2 linked regions of the Pelodiscus sinensis genome follow. The protein of the gene in region 2 purifies or fractionates together with the protein of the main gene of each other region. This does not show direct contact. Links are inferred from orthologs where the notes say so. Each region holds a gene or a part of one and is shown on either strand. Other genes may lie near its edges.

Region 1 (10,920 bases), on a different chromosome or scaffold from region 2:
AGGTGATAAAATTATATTGCTATTTTTAAAGTGATAAAATCTAATCTATCCTCCAAAAGCATGTAATTAACTATGAATTAAATTATAATTTTATTGTAACACTAGACTATATTACCACTGATTCCTTAAACTATAACTTTCAGTGTTACTGAATGATTGGAACAAGATGATATTTTTAACTCAAATCAGATTTTTTTAAAGAATTGTGAGCATAGTTCACAGAAAACTGTTATATTCAGCAGTGTATGTGAAATAAATCATCTAATGGGGACCACATATGTGATCCTTCAATGACATATTTTGCCACAGACTGAAGCTGTGTCTTCACTTACAAAAAACATCTGTATAGTTAACTAGTAAAATCTGGAGTGGAATAAAGGGGGACGGACCTATGTTGTTTTTAACTGGATGGAACTAGTCAAGGTAACCCCACTTTAGGGTATAGGTCCTGTTTTTTGTTTCAGCTAGCCTAGACTAACACGACTACATCTCTATTAGGATTGATCTTCACTGACTACATACAAGTAAAAACTACCTGTGAGCTGTCTCCCCTAGGACTTAGTACCATGATGGCTTCTCTGAGATGATGGCAATAGTTTAACCTAGTTCCTAGATAACATTATCCAGAGAACAATAAATGGTAATTCCTTAAACGGTAGTCACCCAGAGTTTAAGAAGCGATTAGAGAAAGCACAAGCCACCCAATGAACAGTGTTCTCTCCAGGATAGTTCATCTTAAATTCACTCGGAAGCTAATTCTGGTGGAGAATTCATCTCTCACCGACAGAAACTGCTATAATGTGTGCAATCTGCAGTGATTGCCTCCAGGTTTTCAAGTAGAGTTTAATACATTAGTTTTGATCAGTGAAGCACCAAATGGCAATAATCTTACCTACTGGAAAGGCCACTTCTCTCCCCCTACCACACTGCCAGAACCTCATTGATTAAGAGAGAAAAATATTGGCGGCAGCTTCTCAACTTTGAAACCCATTCTTACCATTCTCCCTGGGCAGAAACAGATAGAGTTTGCTGATCTTCCTCACAGTCTGCAAAGCTGATTTTTATACCAGGACTTTTGGGGATCAGGGTGCAATCTAAAGGGATGAACTGGGAAGGGATGAAGTAATTCTTTGATCTTTCGACTGAATTAGTTCTTTATAGTATGTTCTGCTGGATTTGTCTGTTATGATTTGTGTTTTTAAAGAAAACATCAAGGGCATCCAGAGCCGTAGGCCCTGGCTCTTATACATCCAAATAAAAATAAGTACTTGGAATTAACTCCAGCAATAACCTACTTGCTATCCACCTGTCTACTAAACTGAAGAGTTTTTTAATCAAGATTAAATATGGACTCTTTTTTTGTAAAAATCATACCACTTCTGATTCAGCAGCTCATTTCAAAACTCCAAAGGATAAAAGCACCAATGTAGCTCACATCATAAACAAGTGCCCTTGAATAAAGTATACCTTTTATGACTTTGTTCCCTACCTTCCCTCATCTACAAGATACAGGTTGTTTTTTATTGTGGTCCTCAGAGGTTACTGGACATTAATAAAAGAAGTTTGAAGAAGAAAATAAATCAAATTCTTGTGCAATTTAAATGACGTTTTAAACCTGCCATATAAAATTTTCTAAAACAGTAACATTAGAAAAGTATTTTAACTTTTTAATTAAAATGTCAATACTTATAAACTATCATTCAAACAGTAGGTTCAAACAACTGCTTTGGCCTTTTTAATCAAATTACATTCATAACTTTTCTGAAGTCAGCAAAACACTATTTTTGACTGACTCATCTATACCAGAGTCCCTACAATCAGCTCCATGGCAACAACATTTTAACATATCTGACTTAGAAGTTCAGGAGTCCATCACCATCATCACCCAGAAATGTGTTAAACTTAACATTAATTATCTACTACTTAGGAGCAACAGCTTGGCGCCGCTTTTCTAATCTGGATCTCATATTCCCATTTCCCAGTTTACTGGGTTCTTCTGTCATCTGCATTCCAGTACACCTACCTCAAATTTCTCATCTTAGTTATTTTTAAACTGTGATGTTCTAGTTGGTTATATTTGAGCACATACCTTAATGTTGCGCCTTGTTACAACCAAATATACTATAGCCTTGTAGCAGATAATGTGAAACACAGAAGCTAAACAAGATTTACCTCACAAGCTTGTCATTTTGGATGCTGGTACAGTTTAGGGAGCTGATTGTACAAGAGTTTGACTAAGTGGGTACTGTATTTTTATTACCTCTTTTACCAAAACCAGATATTATCAAGAACGAACATATGAGTGATCCTACTGGGTCACACCAATAGTCCATCTAGCCTGTATTCTGTCTTTAAACAGTAGCCAACGGCAGGGTCTTCAAAGAGAATGAACAGAACAGGCAATCACAAAGTGACCGTTACCTTTCATTCACTCCCAGATTCTGGCAAATAGGATAGGGACACTCAGAGCATGGTGGTGCATCCCCTTACCATCCTGGCTAATAGTCATTGATGGACCCATTCTCCATATCCTCATGATGTAAATGTATTCAACATGAGGGTACAGGTAGTCAGTAAAACAATCTGTAAAAGTTTTTTAAAGTATGTTCAAACTGCTGAAATTCAGGGTTAATAATATGTCACCAGATCAATACAATCCACTGGCCTCCTAAAATGGTTTTGGCTCGGTCATATTCCTAATCAGTGCTACAATTAATATCATCCAGACTTATTTTTTGTATTGAACAGACCAGACTGCAATCAGACTTTAGAATCTTTTAAAAAGCTTAATCTATCAGTTGCATAACTGTCAACAATGCCTCACATTTGTTTTATATAATAGATGTTAGAAAGTGCTCACTTTATTGATGACTGAGCCACTATGAGTGAGGAAATATTTTTATTGCACCAACAGCAGATGTTAAGAGACATGTTTTTGAGCTACACAGAGCCCTTTCCTCAACAACTATCAATTTTATGTGACAGCTTCAGTTTTCATGGCAACATCATCTCAAAGGAGTCATCACAGGCCAGACTGCACACAACACTACTACTTAGTTTTGGAAAATTTCAGTTATGATAAATCACTTTTTTTTTTACCATTTGGTGACAGCCCTAGAGAACAAACTAATATTCTGCTATATTTCCTATGATTAAGATTCCATCAATAGTACCTGCCCAAATATTTTCATCTAGTAAACAGCCATGATTAAACAGAAATAACATCCAACAAACAAAGCATGTGAATTTAAACAAGCAAATAAACAGGAAATCACACCATTCTTAATAATTATATATAACACCATACAAGCAAAACTTTGCAAAACTCCTCTCACTAACATGCCTACCCCTCTGAGTCCTCTTAGCATAATATGCGTTCTGGGTGTTTCAGTAAAATATCTTTTCCCTAATCCCAAAATCATCATGATACAAGGCAAATGATTCTCAGTTCAGACCCTTAAACTCATCATAATTCGGCAGGGCTGCTAGAAATACCAGCTTCTTTTTAACTCCACAAGGTTTTTCAGGTAGTGATGGTTGAGAGAGATGTCCACAGAGGTGTGCTAGCACACACCTCCCACCTCGCCCCTATACACACAAAATCCTCAGCCAGTATTTGACAGGGCAGGCTCATGATTTTATGGTCTCAGCCCGTTCAGTGGCTGCCTAAAACTGCACCTGATCACGGTGCTTGATACCAAGCCACTCCTGGGAGCCACGAGCAGAGCAATCTGGTTTTAGGCGGACTCTTGAGAGGGTCCCCACGGAGGTCAGGGCTTGAGGACGGATCCCCCAGCCCAGTGATACACACCCCGAGGTAATTTCAGAAGGGATCAGCCTGGCACCTCGTTCTCGTCCCACCCCCAATACCTCCCAGTCACCTCCCCTGCGCACCCCTTCCCTGCCTCACAGCCCCGCCGTGCTCATCTCCCCCCCAGCCTCCCACACCCCAGCGCCCCAGAAAGTGCCCGCTGCCCCCTTCACAGCGGCCTCCCCTGTCCCAGCCCGGAGCTCATGGCTCGCTCCCCCCGGGATCTGCCCCTGCGCCTCAGATCCCCCCCGCCACGGTGCCCCCGCCCTCACCTGCGCCTCAGATCCCCTCCCCCCGCCCTCACCTGCGCCTCAGATCCCCCCCCCGCCACGGTGCCCCCGCCCTCACCTGCGCTGCCGATTTCCATTCATGGAGCTGGGGGCGGCCGCTCTCAGGCTGCGGGACTAGGATCCTGCCTCTCGCCACAGAGAGTAGCCCCCGCTCTGCGCGCGGCGCCGGGTCCGGCCGGCCGGCCCGGGAGCGGGGCTGCGAGGCAGACAGCAGCGGGGCGGCCTCCTCCCCCTGCCGCCAGGGGCCAAACCACTCTGAGGCGGCGCGAGCGGCGAGCGGGAGCCTCAGGAGCGGAAGTTGCGTGGCCGCCAGCAGCCCCAGCTCGCGCTCGCTCGCTCGCTCTCTCTTTGCCCAGTGCCCTGCCGCGCGCCGGAAGCTCCGCCCACCAGCGCACGCCGGGTACGCTCACTTCCGGCGAAGCGTTTCCGCCGTCCTCCCACTCTGGAGCGGACCGTGACGCACAGAAGGGGCGGGCCCGGAAGTGGTACAACGGAGGGCGGGAGTAAAGGGAGGAGAAGGGGGGGTAGAAGGGTGACGCAGTGTCACGCGCTGGGGGCGGCACTTCCGTTCGCGTGGGGGTGGTGGAGGGTGTACAGGGGCTTGGACCCCTTGGTGTCGTGGGGGTGGGGAACAGCAATCTAGGGGGGGCTGCCCGTGCCAATGGGCTGCTTTGCCCCCCCATGGAGATGGGGGGTACAGAGGACGCCCCCCTACCCACAGAACAGGGGGGGGGATGGGAAGCGATTGAGGCGCAGGACCTCTGGGCCCGGGAGCGGTGTGGGAGGCTCTGGACAAAGTGCAGTCCCTGTGAACCCCTGGTCTATCATCTTATAGGGAGGCTAGCCACAGGGAGATGGTGCTGCTGGTGCCCTCCCTGCCCCCGCACCAGTGCCTGCTTTCTGCTGCTGAAAGGAGTGGGGTAAGCCTTATGGGCTGGATTTGGCTTGCAGGGGAAGGAAGAAGTTCCATGTGCGGCTGCTCCCCCAGCTAGCCTAGAGATTTTCCTTACTGTTCCCATTGGCTGGAAATGTGGCCAATGGGAACAGTAGGGGTGGTGCCTAGGAGCAACTGGAGGCAGAGACACAGGTAAGACCCCCACATCCCTAGCCCCTCCGGCACCCATCATCATGGGTGGTAGGGATGTAAGCGAGTAGTCAACTACTCAAGAAGCTTATACTTATCAGGTATTCAAGCCATTAGTCAAGAGCAGGAGGTGCTGGGGGAGCTGGTTTAAAAGCTAGTTTCCCTCAGCACTGCCTCCACATGGGGACAACGGAGGTAGAGATGCAGCAGAGGACCAGGTCTGAGCTGGGACTCAGGTGTGTGGGGGCTTGCACCCAGTGCCCCACTGCACCTCTGGCTTTTAAATGTAGTAAGAGCTGCCTGGGGCCAGGAGCTAACCCCATGGCAACTCGGCATTTTCCCCCCCTTATTGGTTAATCTAGTAGTCAATGGATTAGCTGACTAAATGCAATTTAACACATTAGGTGGTTGACTGGTGGTCCATGGAAAGATCTGCATTGAGCAGGGTGGGCCGTGAGCCAAAAAGTTTGAGAACCGTCTAGCAAGACAAGGGCTACGTCCAGAAGAGAGTTGTCTATACTGGCATGTGCCTTCGTGCAAGAGATGTGCTTTTGCGCAAGAGCATCCTTGCCAGTGTAGATGCTCTTATGCAAGAAAGCTCTAATGGCCATTTTAACTATAGGGCTTTCTTGCACAAGAAATTCATGTTGCTTGTCCACACTGGCCTCTTGCGCAAAAACAGTTGCGCAAGAGGGCTTATTCCTGAGCGGGAGCATCATAGTTCTTGCACGAGAAGCACTGATTTCATACATTAGAACGTCAGTGTTCTTGCACAAGAACTCACGGCCAATGTAGACAGGCAGCAAGTTTTGGTGCAAAAGCAGTTGCTTTTGCGCAAGATCGTGCCAACGTAGACACAGCCTAGATGGGTGGGTACCAGATAAATCTGCACTCTGTATGTATGTATGTAGGGTCCGAGTTCATGAAAGTGACTGGACTCTGGGAGCTTGAAATACTCTGGTGATCCAGAACACAGAGGCTTAGAGTCTCTTCACAGCACTCTAAGGCTGTGTCTAGACTGGCTAGTTTTTCCAGAAAAACTTGCCAGCTGTTACACTGGCCGCTTGAATTTCCGCAAAAGCACTGACTTCCTACTGTAAGAAATCAGTGCTTCTTGCGGAAATACTATTCTGCTCCCATTCAGGCAAAAGTCCCTTTTGCACAAAAAGGCCAGTATAGACAGCTCAGATTTGTTTTCCGCAAAAAAGCCCCGATCGTGAAAATGGCGATCAGGGCTTTTTTGCGGAAAAGCGCGTCTAGATTGGCACGGACGCTTTTCCACAAAAAGTGCTTTTGCGGAAAAGCGTCCGTGCCAATCTAGACGCTCTGTTCCAAAAATGCTTTTAACAGAAAACTTTTCCATTAAAAGCATTTCCGGAAAATCATGCCAATCTAGACGCAACCTTAGGGTGCACAGTGCCAAATTTAGAAATAAACCGCTGTTCTGAAATGTCCCTTAATCCTTGTGGAATGAGGTTTACAGGGACATTGGAATAGCATGCCTGTTATTTTGAAAGCTATTTCGAAATAAGACATGCTGTCAAGATGCGGAATAGCTAGTTCAAGATCCGGGAAATATCCCAAAATAGCACTGTAGTGTAGATGTACCCTTAATGGGAAAAGGTACTTGCTGGGATCTGTGACATCTAGTACAAGTGCATATGCACAACAGCTGGAAAACAAAACATGACAGAGCCAGAAAGGAGAGAGTTTAAATAACAAGAACAAAGAAATCATGTGGAGCTAAATTATCTGTTTAAGGCAAGAGAACCAGTACTAACCCCCAAGAGATAGCTCTTAGGCTTAGTGAATATATTCTGCCCTGTTATTTTACTGTACTTCCACTGCTAGTTATGTTAAAGGGATTTTTTGAATACACCGCCTTCACCTTTTATGGCCGCTTGTTACTTTTTGCATCAGTCTGTTTAATTTGTGAAAATTAAAATTGGTTACATTTTTGCCTGTGCTACGGTTCCCTTTCAGAATTTCAGTGCTGTACCATTTGAGATAACATGCTTCTAGGGTTTTAAAATAGCTGTCTTGTCTTTTAAATTGTAGATACATTTATATTGCTGTTAAGTTTCCCACAGTCTTATTTTTTACCATGTTTTAAATTTTGGCCTAAATCGGACGATGTGTGCCTTTAACTAGCTGGCAAAATGGGAGAAAGTAACTTTAAATTTTCCAGAACTTACATAAAATGTATCAGCAACGGAAGGCGTCTGTCCTTCGGGAGTGGGGGTGAAATGATGCTTAAGTACAGTTTATAGTCCAGATGATTAATATTAGTACATTTCATCCTGCCAGCTTCTATCTAAAAGACATGTTATTCCCTCAGTAGATGAGCTTAGAATGTTCCTGCAATAAATCCTCAGGAGTATCACTGTAATTTTTCCTCTTTTAAAAACAAACCAATCCACAATGGAAACATGGATATACACTTACCAAAATTTGCTTTGTGTATGGGTGTGTAGTGGGGAATAGGCCATATCCATCAGAATTATTTTCTCTCACACAAAATGGGGCCCGGGGAGGGGGGGCTGAGGAATTCCCATTAGAGTGGCTGGTGGAATAAAAGTATGGGAAAGAAAAATAGGGGTAAGAATGTTCATCTGACACTGTTATATGTGGTGCATGCTACAGGGGGGGAAAAGCAGCCCCTTTTGTGTTTGCCCTCTTCTACTATGTTGCATCTCTTCCTGCTATAATTAACCATGCCCAATGGGCAATGCTGTGCTGCCAGCCCCAGCTGATACTAGTACTGTGTTTGGCACTAGCTGCCCAGTTTCATCAGCTGTTTAGGGCAGGATTATTTCCTTCCAAGAGCCAGGAAAAGCAGCAATGGTAAGCTTCTGACAACTTCTTCAGCCACACAAAAGCCAAATGCTGTTCTTGGAATTACAGCTGGTGCTTGCTACCCTGCCAATACCGGTAGGTATAGGAGGAAGGGGAGGGGAATGCTCTTTCTGCTATGCTAAACACATTGAAAGCTATAACTAGAGCAATGTATATTAAACAGCAGACTGACAGGGAAATTACTACCCTGATTTTACATTGATAATGCTTATATTTGTACAGAAACTGTTGGGATGAAAGAACTGGATCAGATTTTTAAAAAAGGCTCAACATGGATAAAGCCCTAAGGGCTTTGAATAGGGTGAGAAGTTAAATTTCCATCCTTATGAAATAAGGCCCATATAAAGGACACCAGTAAGGAGAGGAAAAACCCAAACATCTGGTCTACACCCTCCCTTTACCTAAAAACAAACCAAAAACATTTTCTGAAACAGGCAGCTCAGTATCAGAGCAGGACATAATGTTCCTGCTGCAGGGCAAACCACAGCTGCCTGTGGTTTATGGTAACCTTCCAGCTGCACACAGCTTAAAGTGGGAATTTACACCTGCTTTAAGAAGCGGGATTCTTAAGAAATGCCTTTTTATCTCACATCTGAAAAGCAAAGGTAGCTTCCAATCCTCTTATTGACCTCAAAGTCGAAGCTTTCCTTGGCCACTCCCAAAGCCAATGCATACAGTACCTTTCATGCTTTAGTAGAGGCACTACTTTGCAACAGTTGAAGCCAGCTTCTGCTGTTATCCCAATTCCACACTGCGATATCACTGCTCACAGGCTCTCCAATGCCAGAGAATGACAGCAGTGGAAGCACTTTGGCACAGCTGTCCATACAAACTGCTTGTGCTGGCACTCAAAGAGTTGCTAAAATTGCTGTAATTGTAGTTGAGTAAGGAAAGCTCACGTCCAGTGCATGCTGCACCAAATTGCTCTGCCCCTTTGCAGAGACAGTTCAGACTGCACTGACATTTTAGTTGGGCCTGGCCAAAACCCACAAATACCCCCACTGCCTGCCTGCTTAAGGTTCTGTGTTTCAACTCCATATGCTATTTCACTTGGGAAACTGGAGTGTTTTATATGGATAGAACATGAAATCTGAATGCTTACGGAAGAAGAGACAACGGGGAATTACTAGGAATAGCAGGACGTTCCCAAGGACACTGCCATATTGCAGGGAGTACTGTGGGGATGCAGTGGACTTGCTACAACTAAAAAATGGTGGCTAGTGTAAACTCCAGGATGTCTAGTGACAAGACTGCAATGCTGTAGTGTCAAGAAGGTTAAGATACCAAGCTCCTCTGTCAGCCCTTTGGGGTTTTGCTACCACAGACACACAGTGGGGAGCACATCTACCGCGAAGGGCCTTTAAACAAGCTTGTCTGGGGAGCGGGGTGTATAAATGAAAGGGTAACGTTGTGGCATACAGGAAGCAGAAACACAGCAACAAGTTTAGGAACAGGAAGGCTACATCTATACTGGCATGTTTTTCCGTTAAAAGCATTTGCGGAAAAGAGCATCTAGATTGGCACAGACGCTTTTCTGCAAAAGAACTTTTTGCGGAAAAGCATTGGTGCCAATCTAGACGCGGGGTTTTGCGCAAGAAAGCCCCCATCACCATTTTCGCCATCGAGGCTTTTTTGTGCAAAACAGTTTTTAGCTGTCTACACTGGCCCTCTTGCGCAAAAACATTTCCAGAAAAGGGCTTTTGCCCGAACAGGAACATTAAAGCATTTGCGCAAGAAGCACTGATTTCGGACAGTAGAACGTCAGTACTTTTGCGCAAAATCAAGCAGCCAATGTAGACAGCTGGCAAGTTTTCGTGCAAAAGCAGCTGCTTTTGCGGAAAACCTTGCCAGTCTAGATGCAGCTGAAAGGTTTGAGAGAGGCATAATGCCAGTGCTGGAAGAGATGCTGTGCCAAGGGCATTGGTGGTCAAGTTCAGAGAGAGAGAGAGAGAGAGAGAGATACACTCTGCCTCCCCCACAGCAGTAGACCGAGAACCACTACACACAGTAATGCAGGTTAGAGAATGATCTTTCTTTCCAGGGCCCCAGGATAGAACATGGGTCTGGATTAAAAACTATTCTAGCCATGCCAGTAGCTGCTGCTGCTACAGTGATTACAAGGTGTGCCCCCCCCCCCCCAAACTGAAAATGTTTCCTGCGTCATAAGCTTACACTAAGTCTTTCATTCATTTTAAACAAATCCTTGAAGTGTGCTACAACCTTGGGCTAGACGGAAGAACTTGAGGGACGAAGGTGGTCATTAGACACTGACAACACAACCTTAATGTTGGCCTTTTGGATATCTTTATATTTTTCCATTTGTGAAAGACTCCTGAGAGGCAGGACATTGACAAGGACAAAGGACACATACCACACAAACACACTCTCTCTCTCAACATCCTCCAGCAAGATGCGATGAACAAGTTTACATGCCTACAGACCACTATTGCAGTCAACTTTTCACTTGAAATGGGACTCAACATCCACATTGGACAAGCTGCCACAACAGTATCTAGACCAAACAAATGGACAGACCACACAAAGATGTGTGTGTCATGCATATTTTATCAGCACACTTTTATACAGGAGAGAGGCATGGACCTTATAGTCTCATCCAGAAAAGAAACTCAACATCTTTCATTTGTGCTGCCTTTGTTAAATCTTTGGAATCTCCTGGAGGGATGGAATCACCAACAGTGAAGTGCTCAAACAGGCCAGTATACCCAGCATGCAAAACACTCTTCAGAGATGTCTCTCAGGGCTGAGCATGTGTACATGGACACCCTCTATGGCAAACTGACATCTTGAAAAAGACCCCAAGAACTCCCAAAATTGCATTTCAAGGAGGTGTACAAGAGACCTCAAAGAAATGCATATGG
Region 2 (10,872 bases):
TCAAATTCAGCTACGTTATTCATTTAACTTAAAATTGATCTCCCTCAGTAGCATAGACTAGCCCTAAGATAGGAGGCAGAAACAGGAATGTGTCAGCTAGACAAAGGAAGAAGCTCTCTATACAAAAAAAAAAAAAAAAAAAAAAAATGTTTTGAGCTACAGTGCTTCTGGAACATCAGGGAACTCATCATGTCTTCCATAGTAGATCAGTCTTTACCTTTTCCAAGTAGTTTAGGACTGTACTAGAATTCTCACCAGTTTTCCCTAGAAAGCTTCTTAATACTGACTGTGATGAATTATGAGACGGAATTTCTAAAAAGTAAATTTAAATAAGTGTAGGGGACTTTTACCTTTCTTCAGAACTCAATTTCATTTCTCTTTAAAGCAATATGTCATTACTGTATCATCTCTTTCCAAATACTCTGTCAAGCTGCTTAAGCTGCCCTCCCTCCCCAACTATCACCCCTTCATTTTTCAGTTTGACTTCTTAACCTCTGATCCACTAATTAGCTTTCTGGCCTTTGATCTTCTGCCTTCTCTGCTTGTATTTGGATCCTCTTGCTGCCTATCATTTTACACTTTCATTTTGACTCCTCTCTCTCATGGCATTCATCTTCCATTATATTTTAATAGTACCTTCCATTCCTTTTCACTAAATCTGATTATATATTTTTCCCCATTCCAAAAGAGACTCACTGGTTAAGAGAGCTCCCCCCCCCCCCCAGTTTCTAGTTATATTCATTTAACTACATAAAGATTAAAACAGTGAAACAAACTCAGAAGACTTTTCTACAGAAGTAATTCATCAGATTTTGTGTAGATGAGTGACAATCATTTAAATGTATTTCTTAGCTTGATTTCTGAACTAAAGAGCCTGCCAACCCTCAGAAATGTGATCCATACAGACCTGGTGAAACTAGTAAAGGTCATCTCCATAGTTCAATACACTGTAAACAAAGAGTTATCCAAGATGAGATTACAACTCCTAGTACTCATGAAAAAATAAAAGCTTCAGAACCCTCTCCCACAGGCTATGTCTACACTCACAGCTTCTTGCGCGAGTAATATGCAAATGAGGCTAAGCATGGACTATCGCTGAGCCTCATTTGCATACCTAATGAGCCACCATGTGTTTCAGAAGAGGCTCTTGCGCAAGAAGGAGCATCTACACTGCCCCTTCTTGCACAAGAAAAATCCTCTTGTGCAATGCCGTTACACCTATTTACTTTTCAGGAAGAACGGCATTGCGCAAGAGGGTTTTTCTTGCGCAAGAAGGGGCAGTGTAGACACTCCTTGCGCGAGAGCCTCTTCTGAAAAAAAATGGTGACTCATTAGGTATGCAAATGAGGCTCAGCAATATTCCATGCTTAGCCTCATTTGCATATTACTTGCGCAAGAAGCCGCAAATGTAGACATAGCCACAATGTCCATGCCATAGGACAAAGTTAACAATATCACTGGACTCAATATGCGAGAAGGGTGATGTGAATACGGATTGTTTGTCCCTTGTTTCAAAAAATACAAAGCATTATCTAAATGCTATATGTTCTTCTTCTATATCCATTGCTTCACAAATGGAATGAACTATCAAACACTTGCAAACAAATCTGCTCCTTTGCTGATCATACAGGTAAGAGTTCACATAGTTGAAGGATACAAAGAGATCTTTCTAAAAGTTATCAACTTTATTGTTGTTGGTATCAGGAGAGCACCCTTTATTATACACTGAAATAGAAAGGTCAGAAATCAGAGAATTGTTGACTTACGCTCAACCAGGCAAGGCCTAAACAGAAATATATATTGGCAGCTTCATCTGTCTGACAGTAACAGCTACCTAGAGTACAAAAAGCAGCCTATTTCTATAGCTAGGCTGTAATAAAAAGATTTAGTGCCAAATCCCGCAAACAACAATATTCATTTTGTTCACTGCTACACATAGCCCAGGAGACAAATGGTACACTGATTTTTTTTTTTTTTAAACTAGCAGATTTAACCAGCCGCCTTGCCTGGGTCCTTCAAGGCAGGGACTTGGGCTAAGGCTAAGGACCCCTTCCTCCCCTCAATCCAGACCACCCCTCACCCTGTTCTCTTTCTTCTCCCCCCCAACCCACCCTGAATCAGAGGCAGCAGTGCAAGGGAGGCAACTGGGTCCCCAAGAGCAGAGCAGGAGGTGGAAGTGAGCTGCCGCCCCATGCTGTAGGCCTCCCCAGGAGTGGAGTCAGCAGCTGAGAGCCAGCTTCCAGTGCACACTTGCTGCCTGCCCAGCTCCGGGGGTTAAAACTTTATACTGCAGAGCCCATTACGAATAACTGCTAAGACTTAACAGTTACATGGTTACCTAATTAAGCACTTTTTAACATCCCTAGTCTGTACAGACACCTCAAAATAATCTGGATATTAAACCCAAAAGTTAAAAAAGCAAGATATACTTTGACATTAAAAAAGCTTCTTCATAGAAAGGGCAATATATGGCCCAGGGACTGAATCCAGCCTGCCAAGCCATTTGATCCAGTCTGCAGCTGGCAGCGCTGCGCCCTGCCTCCAGGCCAATCAAGACCCAGGGTCAGAAGAGTGCATGGAGTCTCCTCCCCCCATCAGGGGTACACTGCTCCAGAGGGAACGGCCAGCAGTTCAAAACACTAGCAATTCCCTCTAGGCATTGTGTGCCTCGGCTGGGCAGGTGCAAGAGATCTCATGTGCTCCTCTGCCCCACAGCCAGCCACCACTACCACCAAAATTGGTGATGTGTCCCACCCCTTACAAAAAGTATTGCCCACCCCTGTTATAGAAACTAAACTGGGACAGTAAAACGGAAGGGTCATGTATGACTGTGAATGCAAATGGAGGGGCCTCAGCATGACCACTTATTTTTTGGCTTGAGTTAACAAAAAAAACATGCCCACGCCTCACAAAATTAGGTGACTTCAGTTACTTCCCTATGTAGTCATAGAGCGTATATATTAACATAAGGAGCACCACAAAGCAGGCACGAGAGTGAGAGAGAAGCAGCCCTAGCAATGTGTCGCCTCGGATTTTCCTATGCCAGGAATAGCTCTGAAAAGTGGCTTTGGCTTGGGACACTCCTCTTCAATTCGGTTACTCCTCCCGCCTCTAAACTCATTCCACCAGCCGCGTATGCAACAAATCCAATGTGGTCGGTAGTGCTACCGACATAACCTCAGGAGCGCATCCGCACGCAGCGGAGCGGGGTAACTCCAGCCACTGGAGGTTTGCTGGCGGCTTGCTTGGGGGCGGCCGGGAAGCAGAACCACCCGCCAGGGCTCAGAGTCTCCTGCTCACTCCCTGGGGCCCGCAGCGCGCTACGCGGCGGCAACTGAGGCTCTGCGCTGGCCCGCGCGCTGCCGGTTGCCGAGGCCGTGCCGGGTCAAGCTGGCCTCGCACGCCGCGGGCAGAGCAGCGCTGCAGGCCCCACACAGGGCCTCGGCTCCCGTTTCGGCTCCCGCGGGCTGAGCCTGGAGCCGCCCCTCCCTCCGCACGGGGCGGGGCTCGGGCACCAGTTAAACCCCGCCGGCCTAGGGCCACCCTCCGGCCCCGCGCGCGCCGCCTCAGTCCCCAGCCGGCCGAGGGCAGCCAGCGGGACCGCCCAGGCAGAGACCAGCGAGCGGCCGCCTGCGGCTCCGAGGCAGGAGTGGCCCGGAGGGAGCCCTGGCGGGCGGGGCGGCTCTCCAGCCAGGCCCCCACCCCTCCCGCTGAGGGCGGGGGAACAGACGCAGCGCGGGGCCCCAGGGAGACGGACGGAGACCCCCGCCGCGCTGCCTGTGCCTGGGGGGCCTGTCCCGTACTCACCGCCGAGGTGCGCGTAGTTCCGTTCTCCTCAGCGCCGGGGGCGGCTCCTCTCACCCACCCGCGTCACCCGCAGGGGAAGCGCGAACCCCAGAAACTAGAAACAAAATACAATTTAAAAAATAAAAACTTTCCTCGTCGCCGTCTCCCTCCCCCCGAGAGCACGAACCCAAACACACCGAGACACGCCTCCGTGACGCCCCCTGCGCAGCTCACTGGCCAGGGTTGCGCCAGCGTCCGCCCCCATTGGCCGCAGCTCCTGCCGATCACACACCTCGCCTCTTTTCACCCCTCCGTACTGTTAATAGGATAGCGTCTCCGTAGTCTCCCCGCCCATTAGCCACAACCCTTGCCTATCACATCAATACCCACCTTTCTGCGACTTCAATTGGCTGGCATCATCGCCATCTCCCCACCCATTGGCTACACTCACTGACAGTCACATACATCTTCCACCTAACTCATTGTCTGGCACCGCCTCCTCCTTTCTCCCCATTGGCTATACACCCAGGCCGTTGGACGAGAACGCGCCCAACTCTCGGGCTCTTCCGCACCCTTCATTGGGTTGTATTTTTATTCTCTCCCACCCATTGGATGAATGCTGGGCCCGTCACAAAACAAAGTCCCGCCCACCAAGCTGCGGGTCTTAAAAGAGACTTCTGCGTTGGTGCGTCACTGCGCGCCGGCAGCACTACCTAGCTCAGCTAGGTAAAATCACCGTCAATCAAGCACGCACAGCGGCTCCCGTGTGGTCCCGGCCAGAGGGAAGGCGTTTGACTGGTGTCCAAGTTACCAACAAGGGCCCCAGCGATAAACACCCACAAATGCAACGCCCCGCCCCCAGTTAGTTATTGTCTGAGACGCAACACGGGCACACCCGGCACAGCTTGCGACGCTATTTATCCCCAGCTTGCACCGCCCCGTGCAGGTTATAGCCGGAGGGAAACGCTATTGGGCCTGAAAGGTGTCAGTCTTAATGAAGCGCGCACGTCATTGGTGAAAGCGTTTGGGGTGTCCCGCCTATCATCTTTTTCAGCCCTTGGCAACAGTAAGCGTATCCACCATAGCTACTGATAGCGTCATAGGGCGGCTTCCCTCTAAGCGCGCCTCTGATTGGCCCGTTGTCATGCGCCGCAGAGCGCTAATCCTGAGGCCCCTCAGCTGCTTGTCTACGGCCCGAGTGCATCCCCGCAGAGCCTGATCCAGCGGCCCAGTCTCAGCCCGGCCCTGCCTGCTGCAGCCACAGTCTCGAGCGCGGCCCCAGCCGGCGCTGGGCTGTGACTCTGGCACGGATCTCAGTGGTCTCCTGGCTGCTGCAGCGGCCACAGCACAGCGCGAATCGCCTTTCTGGCGTCTGGGGGGGGGGGGTCTCACGCGAAACCCTTGTTTGTGACCCACAGGAACCAGGTAGAGCAGTGAGGTGACGGAGCGTCTCCTTTACGCTGCGCAGCCGCCGCCCTGCCCTAGGCTTCTTTCCAGCACTCCTGCGTTTTACACTGAAGGGATCGCAGCCTGAAGGAGAAATAGGAAGGTGCAGCACTTTAAAGACTAACAAGATGGTTTAATAGGTGATGAGCTTTCGTGGGCCAGACCCACTTCCTCAGATCAAATAGTGGAAGAAAATTGTCACAACCATATAACAATTTTCTTCTACTCTTATCTGAGGAAGTGGGTCTGGCCCACGAAAGCTCATCACCTATTAAACCATCTTGTTAGTCTTTAAAGTGCTACATAGTCCTGTTTTTTGTTTCAGCAGCACCAGACTAAGGGATACATTTCTACCACTATCCTGAAGGAGAGGAGGGTTTTGCCTTTGATGTCAGTGAAGCCAGGTTTTCTTCCACAGTGCTTTGAAATCATGGCTGTAGTTTACTTTAAAAAAAACCCACCTTGGTCCAGATACTCCAAATTAGGCCTGGTTGGAGTACTCTGGCATCATATTTCAGGAAAGATGTGGAGAAATTGTAGACAGTCTAGAGAAAAGCAAGAAAAATGATTAAAGGTCCAAAAAAAATGACTTATGAGGAAAGACAGGAAGAATTGTGTTTGTTTAGTTTAGAAAAGAAGACAGAGGGGATATGATAGGAGTTTTCAAGTACCTAAACGGATGTTACAAGGAGGGAGAAAAATTGTTCTTTTTGACATGATAGGACAAGAAACAATGGGCTTACATTACAATAAGGGAGATTGAGGTTGGTCATTAGGAAAAACTTCTTTACTGTCCAGGTGATTAAACACTGGAATAAATTGCCTAAGGAGATCATGGAATCTCCATCACTGGAGTTATTTAAGAGCAGGTTAGCTAGACATCGATCAGGGATGACCTAGTCCTAGATGGTACTTGGTCCCATTATGAGGGCAGGGGCTGGACTTGATGACCTCTTGAGATCCTTTCCAGTTCTAGTATTCTATTAATTTAGTTTTATTCTGTAGACCCTGCTGATAAATATTTAGCAGGTGAGGGGAGAGCTGTTAAGGAGTGATTGAAATTATATAGAGGGGGCTCGTCTACACTGGCCCCTTTTCCGGAAGGGGCATGTAAATTTCATGAGTCGTAGTAGGGAAATGCGCGGGGGATTTAAATATCCCCCGCGGCATTTAAATAAAAATGTCCACCGCTTTTTTCCGGCTTTTAAAAAAGCCGGAAAAGAGCGTCTACACTGGCCCCGATCCTCCGGAAAAAGTGCCCTTTTCCGGAGGATCTTATTCCTACTTCAAAGGGCACTTTTTCCGGAGGATCGGGGCCAGTGTAGACGCTCTTTTCCGGCTTTTTTAAAAGCCGGAAAAAAGCGGCGGACATTTTTATTTAAATGCCGCGGGGGATATTTAAATCCCCCGCGCATTTCCCTACTACGACTCATGAAATTTACATGCCCCTTCCGGAAAAGGGGCCAGTGTAGACGTAGCCAGGGGCTTTATGCAGAGATCAAGGAACAGCAGAAGCCCAGGGACAGTGTAATAGTTCTAAGGGGTACCTTGTCAACCCCTGCCTCCAGCATGTGAGAAACTTGCTTGTCTTTAGCTGAGTGTCTGTTCCCTAACATCAACAGCTCTTTAGCCACCTGAGCACTCTCCTCTAGCCAATGCTAGCCTTATTTTGCTTTACAGGTTAAAAATAGGCACACCATAGTCCCCAAGCTCTATTGAACACGCACTTGTAGCATCCAGACCCTTATCTAATGAAGTTCACAGAAATACCAGGTCTGCTTTCCCCAAAGGAACAGTTTATATGCTAGCTATGACAACTCAGGATCAGCACCTTGCTTAATATCACAGCATTTAGATAGTTCATAGTGAAAAAAAGATAAGTTTATTACCAAAGATTCAAGAGATAATAAGGATAATGGAACTAAAAAGTTAACTAGGGGGCTGTGCCCCCTTGCTTGCTACGCTCACCAACTCCCCTTCTCTGTGACCGTTTTCATGTCCAGAGAGCATGTTAATCTTGCACTGATTATACAGAATTATGAGCAAATGAAGCTGTACAAAAAAAATTGGTCTATTGCTCACATACTACATGTTACAGTACTTCCCTAAACACTACTTCCCTAAACACTACATTAGTGTTTTCTTGACTGCCATTAGTCTTTTGATACCCTGTTGGCTTCTACACTGAGACAGCTGTGTAGAACAACCACAGTGAACTATTAGGAAAAAAAAGCTCAGTGTAGATTTAGAAAATATTAAAAATTAAATTACAGAAGTCTCTGTATCAGAGGCAGCAGTGCAATGCAGCAACCATGAGCTAGTACACGTAGGGAGCCAGCTTAAAAGCTGGCTCCTGGCGTGCACTGGCTCCTGGGGAACTGGCTGCCACCCTGTGCTACTGAGTCTATAGGGGTATGTCTACACTACCCTCCTAGTTCGAACTAGGAGGGTAATGTAGGCATACCGCACTTGCAAATGAAGCCCGGGATTTGAATTTCCCGGGCTTCATTTGCATTAAAAATGGCGGAGCCCCGCTTATGCAAATGAAGCCCGGGAAATTCAAATCCCTGGCTTCATTTGCAAGTGCGGTATGCCTATATTACCCTCCTAGTTCGAACTAGGAGGGTAGTGTAGACATACCCTATGAGAGTCTGTAGGTCACGGGCTGGTAGCTGGCTCCCTGGGAGTGGGGCTGGCAGCCTGGAGCACAGTGTCTGCCAGCTTGGCTCCTGGGGAGTTAGCATGTAACCACTAAAATTTTTAGCATCTATACTGTTAGAATAACATTTTTTAATCTTTCCTACTGTGCATAATATAATTTGAAAATTAAAAAAGTTTAACTTTTAACACAAACAACCACAACACTAAATGTATGGTATCCTTAGAACTTCTACAACTAGCTCTTGTTTTCCACACTCCTATTGTCATTTTAACACCTACTGTTCCATTTTAATTCATAGATAAACAAAAATGATTTTTTTCTGGTTTTCCCCTCTCCCAGTCAGTTTTAGCTTTGAGCGAGAAATACCAAATGATGAAAATATTTTTTGTGCCTGCAGAGGAAGCTAGTGCTGTGAAAAGTTGGCTTAGCCACTGATGGAACTTGCCTAGGTAATTATTTCCACCAAGTCAGGGGAGAGACTTTGTTTTAAAAAAAAAAAATCACTAAACATGTACCAATTAAATGGTTTCGCTCCAGCCCTGAAATTTATTATGACTTGGATAACTGAGGAGTGATTTTTGAGATGCCTATGGTATGGCAGCAGCAGTATCTTGAAAAATTCAGCATCTATCTTTGTACCTGAGGTCAAGAATGTTCTCAAGAAAATAATGTGGAGTTCGTGCTTGATTCATTCGCTTCTTTATTTTATTGCCTGCAGTTTAACTTTCTGGTGAGGTATTTCTTTCATCAATGTCTCTTGAACTGCCTTTAAAATTTCAATAGCATCAGCAAGCTGAGCACGTCCTCTAAAGTACTCTTTATTCCAATGTTACTTTGCATGAGACACTTCCATATATTTAATCACGGTTTTCTTCACAAAGATTAGGCCAATTTTTAATAAATTGTTCAAAACAATCAACCACAGAATTCCATAGAACCTTGTTAGGGAGAATTAGTTTGAATCCTCCCGCTCTCTTCAGTAACACTGAAACAAAATGGTTACAAAAGAATTTTTCAACTTCAACAATTTTTTATTCCTGGAGAAAAGGCACTTAAGTCTTTGGCTAAAGAATGCATTAAATGGGCACTGCAGCCAGAATTTATTAAGGAACATTCTTCTGTTTCTTCTTTTAAGTATCTTATCTCTTTGCTAGGTTTGAAGTATTGTGACAAAACTGCACACGACAGTTGAATTTTTGTTCATGACTATTATAGCTTTCACTGCCATTTCTTCTAGATCGGGGTGGGAGACCTTAGGCCAGGGGTGTCCAAACTTTTTTCAACGAGGGCCAGATTTGATGAAGTGAACATGTGTGAGGGCCGACCATTTTGCCTGACATTCTTTGAACCATTAAAATTAAATGCAAATTAACTATTTTATGCAAAGTTTATTGCAAACGGCATATTTTTCTTTTCGTCACATGGATGACAAATCTAAACAGGTGTTAAATCACTCTGCCTTTCATATCTGAAGGCCAGATGAAAAAAAAAAAATCCAGGAAGCTGAAATATATGTCAGGAACATTGTAAAGTACATTACATATTATTGGTAATAAAGGTTGTCTGTCAACTTTTAAGTTCAAAAAATATGAACAGGAACATAACACCAAGTATACATGTTGTGTCCAAATATATTTATAACTGATTTAGACCAAATGACATTAACTGAGATTTTACAATGTATTCATCTCAATACATATGGATTCGTTGGGGGCCATAAAAGATAGATATTGCCAAATTACCTGGGGGGGCCGTATTAAACCGGAACACAGGCCGCAATTGGCCCACGGGCCAGATTTTGGACATGCCTGCCTTAGGCCCAGGGGCTGAATGTGGCCCTCAGTTTGCCTGGATCTAGCCCAAGGCTTAGGGTTCCCCCTCCAGCATTGGGGAGCCTGATCTGGCACTCCATTCCCCCTACCCTCCTCCACAGGTCTGGCACACACAGCTATGTCTAGACTACAGATTCTTTTGGAAGAAGCTTTTTTCGGAAGAGATCTTCCAAAAAAAACCTTCTGAAATAGAGCAGCCACACTGCAAAAATGAATAGAAAAAGTGATCCGCTTTTTTGAAAGAGCATCCAGGCTGGGTGAACACTCTCTCACATGTAAGCTGTAATTGCTATGGACAGAATGGCATCAGAGCACCTGTGCCTTTTCCTCTTCTTCCGAAAGAACTCCCTCTTCCCCATCCACACACAACTTTTTGCAAAACAGCTCTTTTGCAAGAAGGCTTCTCTCTCATAGAATAAGGATTACCAATGCTGGAATAACCCCTCTGTTCCTTTGATTTTCTTGCGGAAAAACACAATTGCAGTGTGGATGTCCCGTTCCTCAAGTTTTGTTCAAAAAGCAGCTGTTTTTCCAACAAAACTCTAGCATAGACATAGTCAAAGTCTACCAGCCTGGGCAACCCTAGGCTCTAGTGTATGTGGTGAGTGTCTTTCTCCTTTTCAATCAAGAGCCATGTCAATGGACCAGGGTTGTTTTTTGGCTTCTGTTGGGGGCCAGCCCCTGACATGGGGTGCACCCCCCCCCCCAGGATCCCACATCCTGTTCCCTCTAATCAGGCCTATACAGTACTAATGGTCCCAGTACACAGTCCAGACCCCTCTATCAGGGCATATATGGTAGTTGAGGCCTAGCTCCAGGAAAAGCCTCTCACAGCCAGTGTGATTGCCCAGGGTACAGGAAATGGTGGTAGGGGGACCTGGGCCCTCCCTCTCCACAGGGTCACAGCCCAGGGCCTTGTAGGCAGGGACTGTTGCTCCTGCCTGCTCAGTGGGGAATCCAGCCAATACACACCAAGCTGTGATAGCAACCCCTTGCCCTGGGCTACTTTCTACCACCCTGGCACCCCTATAGTCTGTCTGCCTCAGCAGCAGTCCTTGCCAGGGCCAGGGCCAGGGCCAGGGCCAGGGCTGGCGGTGTAGGTGGTCCAGTCCCTCCAGCAGGTTTGGATGCCGGCTTCACTCCCAG

The links. Proteins that work in one complex are often made in the same cells at the same time.
Region 1: the proteins of TNRC6B (region 2) and AGO3 purify together in Homo sapiens (affinity purification with mass spectrometry; 6 studies listed by BioGRID and IntAct, with this or other methods). This does not show direct contact. The link is inferred for Pelodiscus sinensis from reciprocal best matches to the Homo sapiens genes TNRC6B and AGO3.

What each region holds. Positions count from the first base shown.
Region 1 is NC_134735.1:7,594,066-7,604,985, reverse strand, and holds the start of AGO3 (protein argonaute-3), read right to left. Parts: upstream 4,480-10,920; 5' UTR 4,179-4,479; coding exon 4,160-4,178; intron 1-4,159.
Region 2 is NC_134711.1:90,364,699-90,375,570, forward strand, and holds the start of TNRC6B (trinucleotide repeat-containing gene 6B protein), read right to left. Parts: upstream 4,294-10,872; 5' UTR 4,177-4,293; intron 4,123-4,176; exon of another isoform or gene 3,984-4,122; intron 3,978-3,983; exon of another isoform or gene 3,902-3,977; 5' UTR 3,808-3,901; intron 1-3,807.